Saccharomyces cerevisiae S288C: one gene and its partner. Changing the gene in region 2 together with the main gene of any one other region gives a genetic interaction. Each region holds a gene or a part of one and is shown on either strand. Other genes may lie near its edges.

Region 1 (8,304 bases), on a different chromosome or scaffold from region 2:
GAACCGCCCTGCTGTGACTTCATGCTTGGAGCAGAATTGTTCTAACTCATCCAATGCTTTATTTTCACCAACTTGCGGGTAAATCTTACGAACAAACTTTACATTATCACTTGTGTATTCGTGTCCTGGATAAACCCTCGTTTTACTCCAGTTCTGCCTGCCCACAGTTTCTAAGATAGAATTGTTCAGAGCTATATCCATTTCTTCGCCTGTACCCTCAAAAAACCTACCGCAACCAGCGGTAAATAGTGTATCGCCAGTAAAAATGCAGCGCTCATCTGTTGTTGGATCTTTCACATAATAACAGATAGAGTCTCTGGTATGGCAGGGCGTCCTAATACAAGTAATCTCTAAGTCACCTAGGTGTAACTTTTTCAAATTCTCCGGAATTATCGTAACCTTTGGGCAGTCCTTTGACCCTCCTATAACCTCAACTTTTGAAGTTGGATTTTTCTCTTTTAAATACTTCAAGATATCAGCGTTACCATCTGCATGGTCATAATGGTGATGTGTATTAACAATTGCTTCAACACTTATTTTCTCATCCTCAGTCAACTCTGGCAGAACCTCAGGAGGCTCTGCTGGATCGATTAGCCACGATTTTTTATTTTTACTGTCGGACAATAGATAGCAGTAATTAACACCACCAGACTCCCATCTCATTTTAATCGATTTAACCTGCATTTTTTGTCCTCCTTTTCTTGTGTTTTTGTGTTGTCCTGCAGTCTTCCCTTTGATATTGGTAAATCTAGCAACTTATCTAAGAATACTAAAATTTTTCTAAGAGGGATATAATGGGTTTTTAAATCGGTAAAAAAATCCTTATTACCTCCATAATATCCCTTGAAACCGACGGGTAATACGACTAGTAGACTTACTGAAAATACATAGAGTAGGAGTAAAATATATGAATTTACTAAAAAATTGATGAATATTAATTATTATTATTGTTATAAATCTATATGCTCGTGGATTTTTTTAAATAAATTAGACTTACCTGTTATTTACAAGACTTCTTCGTTTGACATTAGTCCGGCCTGTGATTCTATGTCTTGCTCACCTGCAATAGCCCGCGTAGAAAAAAGCCTTGACCAAAAATTCCCAATCGAAAATTTGGACTTGAAATCTGAAATCCCATGTGATTCAATATCCGGTGGAGTCCACTTCTTCAACATCAATGAACTTAGAACGACACTGACCGAGCTGAATGCCATCGCTAAACCGGCGAGCATTGGAGGAAGAGTTATGCCCCAAGGAATGAGCACACCCATAGCAATCGGAATCATGAATATATTATAGCAAAGTGCCCAGAACAAATTCAGCTTTATTCTTTTGAACGTTTTTAGTGAAATATCGATGGCGTTGGCCAGTCCTCTCAAACTATTAGTATTCAGATCATTACCGCACAGTATAACAATATCAGCTGCTTCAATAGCAATCTCCGTACCTGTTGAAATGGCAATACCTAGATCACTCAGTGCTAAAGCGGGAGCGTCGTTAATGCCATCGCCAACAACAGCAACCTTGTTATTACCTTCTTTATCTTGAATTTTTTTCACGAGATCACATTTGCCTGTGGGTGACACATCGCTGTAAACATTTTCGAAGCTTATACCTACTTCTCTAGCGACTCTTTTTGCTGCTGAGTTATTATCGCCAGTAATCATATACGTTTCATATCCATTTCTTTGTAGATACTGAACTGTTGCGTAAGAATCATGTTTAACTTCATCATTAATCTCGAACAAGCCAAACACATGCCCGTTTACTGATACGTATGATACAGTGTTTCCTTGGTCGACATTACTGTTAATAAATCCGGATTTTTTTAATGCATCCTCCAAAATCAGCGCCTCGTTCCCAATACAAATATCATAAGTATTTCCATTAACTTGACACTTTGAGACTATTCCCTTTCCAAGCACGTATTCGCTTTCTAAAACAACGGCATTTAAAGCCTTATTACAGTTCAAACCATCACAATAACGTATAATTGCTTTCGAAACTGGATGGTCACTAATGGATTCCGTTGCTTTTATACAGGCGAGAACTTCGTCTTCATCCACGTTTCCAACCCAATTTGAATCTTTAAGGAACTTTTTCACAACCATAAAACCTGTAGTTAAGGTACCTGTTTTATCAAAAACAAAAGTAGTAATACTATTGAATTTTTCCAATACTTCTCCGCCCTTTATTAAGACACCATTCTGAGCTCCAACCCCTGTACCCACCATTATAGCAGTCGGCGTGGCAAGTCCCAATGCACATGGGCATGCGACGATGACAACAGAAGTAGCAGTTTGTAAGCAAATAAAAAAATTATCAGCCTTAGTATTTGCGGTGAAAGCGACGGGAGGATTAGCCGAGATGTTTAAAATAAAACACCAAATAAAGAAAGTCAATACTGCCAAAATTAGGATCCCCGGAACAAAAATAGAGGCTAAATAATCTGCATACCCCTGAATGGGAGCTTTACTCAATTGTGCTTCTTTCATTACCTTGATAATATTTGCTAATTTAGTTTCCTCCCCAACGGTAGTAGTTCTGAAGTAGAAATGTCCAGGTCCATTAACAGAACCAGCAATAACCGGAAAACCAGTTTTCTTGGGCACCAAAATGGATTCGCCTGTCATTAACGACTCGTCAATTTCAGATTCACCTCTTGTTATGATGCCATCAGCAGGAATTTTCATCCCTGGTTTAATCTCCACTATATCGTTCACTTGCAATAATTCTATGGGAATTTCCTTGGTTTCATTCCGCTCCACGTCAGATATAATTGAACACACCGATGGAGTGAGCTGAATTAATTTAGAAAGTGCGGTTGATGTTTGTGATTTAGCTAAAGTTTCCAAATATTTCCCGATGGAAATATATGAAATGATCATGATTGATGTGTCGAAAACGATCCTTGGGAGTTTGCCAGTACTTGAGGGATGGAACATATTGTGAACTAAAGAAAACACAGAAAATGTGTATGCACAAGTAGTGGAAACACAAACTAGTGTATCCATGGTTCCTGAACCGTGCTTTAAAGATGCCCATGCTGCCTTGTAAAAGTAAAAACCAACGCTGAACTGAATATAGCTTGCCAATATTACACCCAAAATATCTCTGTAGAACAGACCTCTAACAAAGGAGGTTTCTTTGTAAGGGAATATGCGGTCCTGAACAATTGTTGGCCACATCATAGGGACAATCATATACAATAGCATACATATTATAGCCAAAAGGGTGGATTTTATGCTGTTTTTTTTCCAGAATCTTATCTCGTCCTCTTTAGAGAGAAGCCTTAACTGGGTAGTATTATCTAAATTGGAAAATACAGTGAATTTATATCCGGTCCTCTCAAGGTGCCTCAATAAATCTCTAATGCCGAGTTCGTTACAACAGTATTTTATGGTGAGTGTGTGCATATCATCAGAAATTTCTATCGATTTTACACCTAGGTCTAACAAAAATTGAAACCTTTCGCTTACTGAAGAAAGTATGAGTGGGGATTCGTCCTCGAAAGCCTTAGTTACTTTCAAGATCACCGTTTTTTCGGTCATGTCTGCATTCCCGTTGCCATCCATAATAATATTTGAGTCAAATCCACAGTCTTCAATCATTTCTCTGGCGGTTTCTAGCGTTGTCTTGGACGGTTCATAAATAACATGGCACTCTTCCGTTACCAAGGAAACGACTACCGATTCAACACCCTCAATGCCTTCCACTTGTTTGGTGACTGTAGAAACACAAGACCCACAGGTCATACCTTGTACACTCAGTAGTCCTTCCTTCGTACTTATGGCTGTAATTTCAGAATCTCTTAGTATCTCACAGTCAAATCCACAATCCTCTATAATTTCCTTAATAGAATCGGCGGTAACCTCGTTATCGTATGTCACCTGGCACTCATTAGTCACTAAACTAATATCACATTTTGTTACACCCTTTAAAGCTCGTAACTGCGTATTGATTGTATTAGTACAGGCGCTGCATGTCATTCCATGTACAGCAAGTATCACTTCTCTCATTTCGTTTTAAGTATTAAACACCTCAACTCCTTGGCCGCAAAATTTACGAAATATCTCAAATACCTTTGAAAAGTAGCTTAGTACCAGGCAGAATTAAAGTCTAATCCATATGTCTCAAATTTGAGAAGAAATCCATTAGTTACCGTGACTTCCCTAAATATATACAAGTGTGTGCAAAAGGTCTCGGAATCACCGGTGCAAACCCTTCGGCAGCTAATTGCACTCATCGCCGCACTGCACCCGTTCTTTTCCACTGCCCGCGAAAATCGCTACTACAAATAACTGCACCCAGGACAATACTTACACAGATCGACCTGTTTTCGAGCCAGACGGTGGCAACACAACATTCTAACGGTGCTGGCCCTCTGCAAGAGACTGTACCAACATCTGCGTATTTTTCAAGATACTAACGTTTATTGATGAGATCTGCCGAGTGAGGAATCTTGCATATTCTGAAATAACAAAGATACGTACAAGTTAAACTGTATTATTATTTACATTGCGTTTGCAGCAGCCTAAAGCCGGGGACAGTCAGAAGCCCATTATTTTATGAATGTCGGCCAGGTTTTTTGCTGCTTTTTCTCTCGCTTTGCGCATGCCAGATTCAACGACACTATGCAAATAGGTCGGTTCGTTGATATATTTCTCAAATTCTGTTCTTGGGCCTTTCAATTCCTCAATTATCACTTCTGAAACATAATCTTTGAAATCCCTATAGTTATTGAAACGAGATACATCTTCTACGACATCTTCAATCGATTTTCTTTGAATGCCACTGACAATGTTAATTAAATTCGATACGCCTGGTCTTTCTACAGGGTCGTAGTAGAACCTATCAGAAATGGAATCTGTTAAAGCTTTTCTAATCTTTTTCTGAATTGCCTTAGGCTCATCATTCAAAAAAATTACAGAGTCGTGATTCGGATCACTCTTGGACATTTTCTTTTCAGGCGTGCTTAAGCTCAAAACTTTTTTCGTTTGTGCCAACATAGTTACAGGTTTAGGAAAAAAATTTTTCTTGTACATTTTGTTAAACTTTTCAGCAAGGTGTCTTGTTAGTTCCAAATGCTGCGATTGATCATCGCCAACAGGAACGTGTGTAGATTTATAAAGTAGAATATCCGCTGCCTGTAAAACAGGATACGAAAATAAGCCCAGTCTAACTTTTCCCACGTCAGAATCGTTAACCAGATAATCCCCATTAGTTGATTGTTTGATATTCGATTTTGATTTCCATTGCGTCATGCGGTTAAGTAATCCCATCGAGGCAAGAGTAGAAAGCAACCAGTGTAATTCACTGTGTTGAGGGATGGCGGATTGGTAGATCACCGAAGCCTTTTCTGGATCTACACCGACAGCCAGTATACTTGCTACTGCCTCATGGCGAAATTTTCTAAACATTTCTCCATCTGGCTTTGGAACAGTGATAGCGTGTAAATCAGCAACTCCAAATATCAATTCCTGGCCAGGTTGTTTTAATTCACATAAGTCTGTCCAAACACGTGTAGCACCTAGATAATTACCAAGGTGGAAACACCCAGTTGGCTGAATCATACTAAATACCGTAGCATTACTATGAAGCGCTTCGGAATTCAGCTTAAAATCGGCACGTTGCACTGTGCTTATCCACCTTTTACTGATTAACTTCAGAACCGCCTGCTTATTCGACATCTTCCTTGTAAAAGATAGTGTAAATATTTATCAAAACCTGATTCACTCCTTAGTAACGTAAAACCTTTGAGATGGTGCAGGTAGCCTGTAATAAATCATAATACCCTTTTCTACTTTCTCGAAGCCGATTTTATCACGTGAAAAACAAAAAATACCTTTGCACTTCTATCTTGTTTTGTGTTGCCTTTATAAGGAGAAAAAGATCTTCAAGAAAAGGTCATACTAATTGTAGAAACGTTTGAATTTAAGGAATCTGACTCTGATGTGCATAGCAGTGTTACTACTATTTATTTTCTTGAAAAATACCATCGTGATTGCCTTCAAATAGGTCATCTAAAACTTTCTGCTCTCAGCGGGCCGTGTTTTGAAAAATCTCACATCGAATATTGTATCGTCTTTGCCTCATTAATTGCGAATAAATACTAGATTTGTAGATATCACAAATCAAAATCGGGCTATACCACGACATTTTAATAGTTCAATTGGTTTACTTATTTGGTAATGGCGTCTATCAATCTGATTAAGTCTTTGAAACTTTACAAGGAAAAGATATGGTCTTTTGACTTTTCTCAAGGTATATTAGCAACAGGTTCAACTGATCGAAAAATTAAGCTAGTTAGCGTGAAATATGACGATTTTACGTTAATTGATGTGCTAGATGAGACTGCTCATAAAAAGGCGATTCGATCTGTGGCGTGGAGACCTCACACTTCGCTGTTAGCGGCTGGCTCTTTTGATTCCACTGTATCTATCTGGGCTAAGGAAGAATCTGCTGACAGAACTTTCGAGATGGACCTGCTAGCTATTATCGAAGGTCACGAAAATGAAGTAAAAGGTGTAGCGTGGTCGAATGATGGATATTACCTAGCAACCTGTTCCAGAGATAAAAGCGTGTGGATATGGGAAACAGATGAAAGTGGCGAGGAATATGAGTGTATTAGTGTTTTGCAAGAACATTCACAAGACGTTAAACATGTTATATGGCATCCATCTGAAGCATTACTGGCTTCAAGTTCTTATGATGACACCGTCAGGATATGGAAAGACTATGACGATGACTGGGAATGTGTTGCTGTCTTAAATGGCCATGAAGGAACTGTTTGGTCTTCTGATTTTGACAAGACTGAGGGCGTGTTTAGACTGTGCAGTGGAAGCGACGATTCCACTGTACGGGTATGGAAATACATGGGTGACGACGAGGATGATCAACAAGAATGGGTTTGTGAAGCTATTCTCCCGGATGTACACAAAAGACAGGTATACAATGTTGCATGGGGCTTTAATGGCCTCATTGCTAGTGTAGGAGCGGATGGAGTACTAGCGGTCTATGAAGAAGTAGACGGAGAATGGAAAGTTTTTGCTAAACGTGCATTATGTCATGGAGTTTATGAAATCAACGTTGTGAAGTGGTTGGAGTTAAATGGTAAAACTATACTTGCAACAGGCGGTGACGACGGGATCGTAAATTTCTGGTCTCTAGAAAAAGCAGCGTAGATGTAGAAGCAAGAGTACAATTCAGGAACTCATATTAACACAGTGATCGATCTGAATTCTAAAAATAAACTTAATGACGATTTTTCTACCTAGTTACATAAACCTTTGTATCACTATAACGCAATTCTGTCATGTGTGACGGAGTGACCTCGTTATACATATCCCTGCATTAAAAGCATGCGGTAAAAACTGAAATTTAAAAATGAAAAAAAAAAAAATTAGATATTCGGAAGACTTGTAATTAAGCATTATCTCGAATAAAGAAAGGTTACACTGAAAGTTTCATACTCGCGGTCACTCTTAATAATAGCTATATTTTCTGATTTTCTCTTAAGATTTTGAAAAGGGCATCTGAACGACTGCCCACTCAGCCATATTCAACAAATCGTCGAGCGCATACCTAGCTGAAAAAGATCCATAAAGTGCATTTTGATACAGTCTCTTTCGTCGAAAAAATAGTGGCTATACTTCTTTTCAAGAATTAGGATGAGCGAATCAGTGAAAGAAAACGTTACTCCGACACGTAACTTCCGTCGTACTCAAGGGCCCCAAAATAATACAAAACCTCACAACGACAGGAAGAATTTCAGAAGAAAGCAAAAGAAAAATAACCTTTCTGCTGAACCCAACCTCACCACTTCAAGCGCAGATGATACTGATGAAGAAAATGAATTATGTGTAATTTGTGCGCGCAAGTTAACATACGTATCTCTAACACCATGCCATCATAAGACATGCCATATCTGTGGTTTCAGACAACGAGCTTTGTACAACAAGAAAAGCTGTTTGATTTGCAGAACGGAGAATGAAGAAGTCATGTTTACCGATCGCATAGATGGTGATATTTCAGATAAATATAACTTTTGCGAAAAAAATGAAAAATATGGAATAAATTTCACTAGCGAAGAGGTTGCTACCGAAACACTAAATCTTTTAAAATTTTTTTGTCCCCTATCGAAGGATGAACAAGTTTGTGACTTTGGTAGTTTCAAGAAATATAATGAACACTTGAAATCTGAACATAACAGAATGATCTGTTTAATATGTGCAACCCATAAGCATGCATTCCCTTGTGAGCTTGAAATATTCACCCAAAATCAATTACGCAACCATCAAACTA
Region 2 (4,008 bases):
CTTCATCGCAATATTAATGCTAGAAGCGGTGCAAAAAACCATTTTGTGTGGGATAAAAAAACGTCGTGGAATTAGAAACTCGTTCTTCGGGTAAGAAACCAATATCGACACAACAAGATATGGGGTGTATAGTTAAAATCTCTACTGATAGACTTTATTGGTGAGGTTGTGAACAGATTGTTGGCGCTTTCTTCCTTATCGCCTCAATCTGAAAGGATCTAGATTTGCCAATGTTATCACACTACATCTTCCTGGCATTCGTTTTATTGCCATTCAGAGTTTCCGCGTTTTACTTCTATGGTTATGGTGGAGACAGAAAATGCTTCCTGAAGGAACTATCCAAAGACACCCTTTTAAAAGGTTCTTACAATTTGGAAGTTTACGATGATAAGTTGGCAGATTATGCGCTTCCCAGTTATAATGACTATGGCATTGTCATAGATGTGGAAGAAGTCTTTGATAATAATCATAGGGTAGTCCACCAACAGGGCTCTCCTTCCGGTGACTTCAGCTTTCTAGCTTTGGAATCTGGAGAATATAAGATCTGTTTACAGTCTAGGGTAAATAACTGGGTAGGGAAAACCAAAACAAAGTTAGAAATCGAATTTGAAGTCGGTTTTGAAGCAATGTTGGACATGCAAAGAAAAGAAACCTTGGAAAGTTTGCACGGAAAAGTCAGTATATTGAATTCTAAGATCGTGGATATCAGGAGAGAGCAACAACTGATGAGAGAACGTGAAGAATCCTTTAGAGACATATCAGAGTCTGTGAATTCTCGCGCAATGTGGTGGACGGTAACTCAAGTTACTCTTCTCATTATAATTTGTGTATGGCAAATGAAAAGTTTACGCTCGTTTTTTGTTAAGCAGAAAGTATTATGACCGTACATATCAAAAAATTGAATCCTTAGCAGGCATACATGAGAATTTCGTTGTTTCAATGATTTATTTCTATTTATTTACATGCATTACCCCGACGCTTCATAGTGTAGTCATTAAATGAGTGTATACATATATATACTAACCTAGTCATCAAGATGTTTTAGGTGTTTCAATTCTTATTATTCATCTATAAAGACAGAATAAATATATACGGTGCGTATCAGATATGCTATTTCAACATACTATCTTTCGATAATCGGATCAAAAAGCTCCTAACGATTGCCATTACAAACCTTCGTCCATCCAGGCCAACGTTTTGTTAATTCCTTCTTCAATACCAACTCTTGGTGTGTAGCCTAGCAACTTTTTGGCCTTAGCAATGTTGTGATAACGGTATGCACACACAATCTTGACTCTGAATGGAGTCAAACCTGGCTCTTTACCCAGCATCTTGGATACCCATTCTGAAAGATAACCTGCACAAATTGCAACTGGCCTTTTCAAAACAATAACATGTTTATCAATATGACCATCTGCCTTCCACACAGTACGGGCCAAGGCCCAAAAATAGGTGGGGGTATCATTGGTAATGAAAAAAGTTTCACCCGAGACAGCAGTTCTTGTTTTTGGATCGAGAAGTTTCTGTGCAGCTAACACATGCGCGTCAGCAACATTTCCAGCATAAGTCCAATCAAATAGATTGTTATTATCACCAATTTGGAACTTCGACTGCCCCAATTTCGCAACCTGTCTTAGACCAGGTACTAATTGCCTATCACCTGGGCCAAAAATACCAGCTGGACGAAGAGCAACAGTATAGAAATCACTGCTTGGATCATTCGCCTTCAAGACCATATCTTCGGCGATAGCTTTAGTCTCATTGTACGCATCCATAGGAACTTCTGGGATTGGCCAGGTTTCGTCTGCATTGTGCACATCTTGCCCATTAAAAATAACACCAGCAGAGGAAGTATATACAAGTATATTAACGCCACATTTCTTGCACATATCTATCACGTTACGGGTTCCCTTAACATTCACTATGTCATAAATATCTGGATTTTGACCATGCATTGGAGAAGCACAATGAACAACAACATTTGCTTTACTTTCGTTAATTGCGTTTTCCATATCATCAGGTGATGTTAAATCACCCTTATGAAATTTTATGTCGTCTACATTAAAAGTAAACTGTTTTGAAAGTTTTTCAGGGAGATCTCTAACATCAAAAATGTGGATGTCTGGCTTAGGATTAATATCAAAAAATTGCTGAATTAAGTGCAATCCAAGAAAACCAGAACCACCGATAATTAAAACTGAATCTATCTTTGACATATTTATTTTTGTTTGCCCTTCCAGGTAGAGTTGCAAATAAAATTGGACAAAATTGACAATCTATATTGTTGTCTATTCTATTTTATAGCTGCAGCATAATCTTTTCCTTGCAGGCTTATATGAGATTTTTAAACGATACCATTTCTCGAGAGAACAATAAACGATCTATAGGGACTATCGGACCGAGAAATATAAAATCCACAAACACCGACAATAAAATAGCCTCTAAAAAAAAAAAAAGGTCCTGGAGAAAGCAATATTCATACCGCATTAACTTTCATTGAACCGAAGATCTACAAATATCCTTTCCTTGCATTATAATTATCCAATACTTTGTCGTCAATATTCTTTCAAAGAAAGAAAAAATATGAAATCAAAATTAAACATTTTTCTGTAATTTCCGTAATACAAAAAACTATTTTCTTTTCGGAAGGCAAAAACAAAAATTATAATAAAAATAAAAATATGTATAATATAATTTTTATCTTCTAACTTTTTATTTATTGAATTTTTATATAGTAAATATAACACGTGATATATTTGAAATGTGATTATATTATATATATTGATGTTTACATATTTTTTATGTAGTACAATTAATTTTCAAATTTATCGAAGCTCTTAAAAAGCTCAAGAAGCAAATTTCCATGAACTACATTCAAAATTTGCGTAGCACCTAAATTCGTTACTCAAACCATTAGAATGTTCAGGAAGAAAAGTTGTTATTCTTGTGTCAGAATAAACTTTGGATATGACTTCAGACATTCTTTCACCAGTACAACTTATGAGGCGGTGCTTAAAAACTCCTTTCTTAGTTTTAGAGTTGTCATTTGGCGCTAATAAACACTTTGCAGTGATAGAGGCTATTTTATATCAATGAATAACAGTTAGTAAGATGAAAAGATACTGGAAAAAAGATTAAAAAATGAGTAGGGATATGTTTATGATATACATACACTTTGTTTGACAATCTTCATTTAAAAAAGGTGGGTCAATTAACAATCTATCAACTTTTCCTTTAATTTCATCACTGAAGTCCAGTGGTTTATTGTAATCATAAAAAAAGAAATGATCTCTTCCAGCTAACAACTCGAATCTCTTATCAAATTCGAACAAGTAGATATGTTCGGTTGGAATTTCATTAGTAGGTTTCTTTTGAATGGCAGCATAGACGGATGGCGCACTAACTATTGCAATTACAGTGTTTTCGTCCGCACCTTCCAATATGGCATCTGCTAAAATTGCGGCTGTGTCATCGCTGTACCAAAACTGGGAAAGCTGCCAATCTTCCTTGAAAAGCTTCATCCCTTCTTCTTTTTTTTTCTTTTGGAAGTCTTCATCCGTTTCGTCGTAAAGCTTTTGAAAGGCTTCTTGATGTTGTTGTTCCTCTCTTTTGAATTCTTCAAGGGCAGCGAGGGCATTAGCAGAAAGTGTCCTATTAAGTTTCGTGTTAGTTAGTAATTCTACGTTACTGTGTTGAAAATATCCTGTACTTACAATTCATAATCGGAGTCGGAGTCGGAGTCGGACATTTTATCAGTGATTCTTTCGGTTTCATTAAGATGTAAAGTGACTGATTAGTATATTAGTCAAGATTAATATTTTTTTTTTTAGTTCCTCCAGTTCAAAAAAATTTTGTTAGATTTAACCGGCATAAGGTTCAGCGATACAGACGAAAAAAGAAGCCTCTAAATGAATGGGAAATTATATATACATGTATATTATGCAGTTGATATTCTATGAGATGACAATACTAAACTATATACCTATATACATTGCCCATCTTGGATTT

The links.
Region 1: of ERG26 (region 2) and CCC2, extra expression of one is lethal in a mutant of the other (dosage lethality), as found in Saccharomyces cerevisiae (one study listed by BioGRID).

The regions. Positions count from the first base shown.
Region 1 is NC_001136.10:1,001,390-1,009,693, reverse strand, and holds CCC2 (Cu(2+)-transporting P-type ATPase CCC2), read right to left. Parts: upstream 4,020-8,304; coding exon 1,005-4,019; downstream 1-1,004. Other genes in the region: hydroxyacylglutathione hydrolase GLO2, read right to left, coding at 1-684; tryptophan--tRNA ligase MSW1, read right to left, coding at 4,551-5,690; iron-sulfur cluster assembly protein CIA1, read left to right, coding at 6,192-7,184; E3 ubiquitin-protein ligase HEL2, read left to right, coding at 7,671-8,304. UniProt on the Saccharomyces cerevisiae protein: Copper-transporting P-type ATPase necessary for the proper uptake of iron. Required for export of copper from cytosol into extracytosolic compartment.
Region 2 is NC_001139.9:494,287-498,294, forward strand, and holds ERG26 (sterol-4-alpha-carboxylate 3-dehydrogenase (decarboxylating)), read right to left. Parts: upstream 2,217-4,008; coding exon 1,167-2,216; downstream 1-1,166. Other genes in the region: ERP6 (Erp6p), read left to right, coding at 231-881; EFM5 (protein-lysine N-methyltransferase), read right to left, coding at 2,847-3,079, 3,173-3,651, 3,714-3,748. UniProt on the Saccharomyces cerevisiae protein: Sterol-4-alpha-carboxylate 3-dehydrogenase; part of the third module of ergosterol biosynthesis pathway that includes the late steps of the pathway.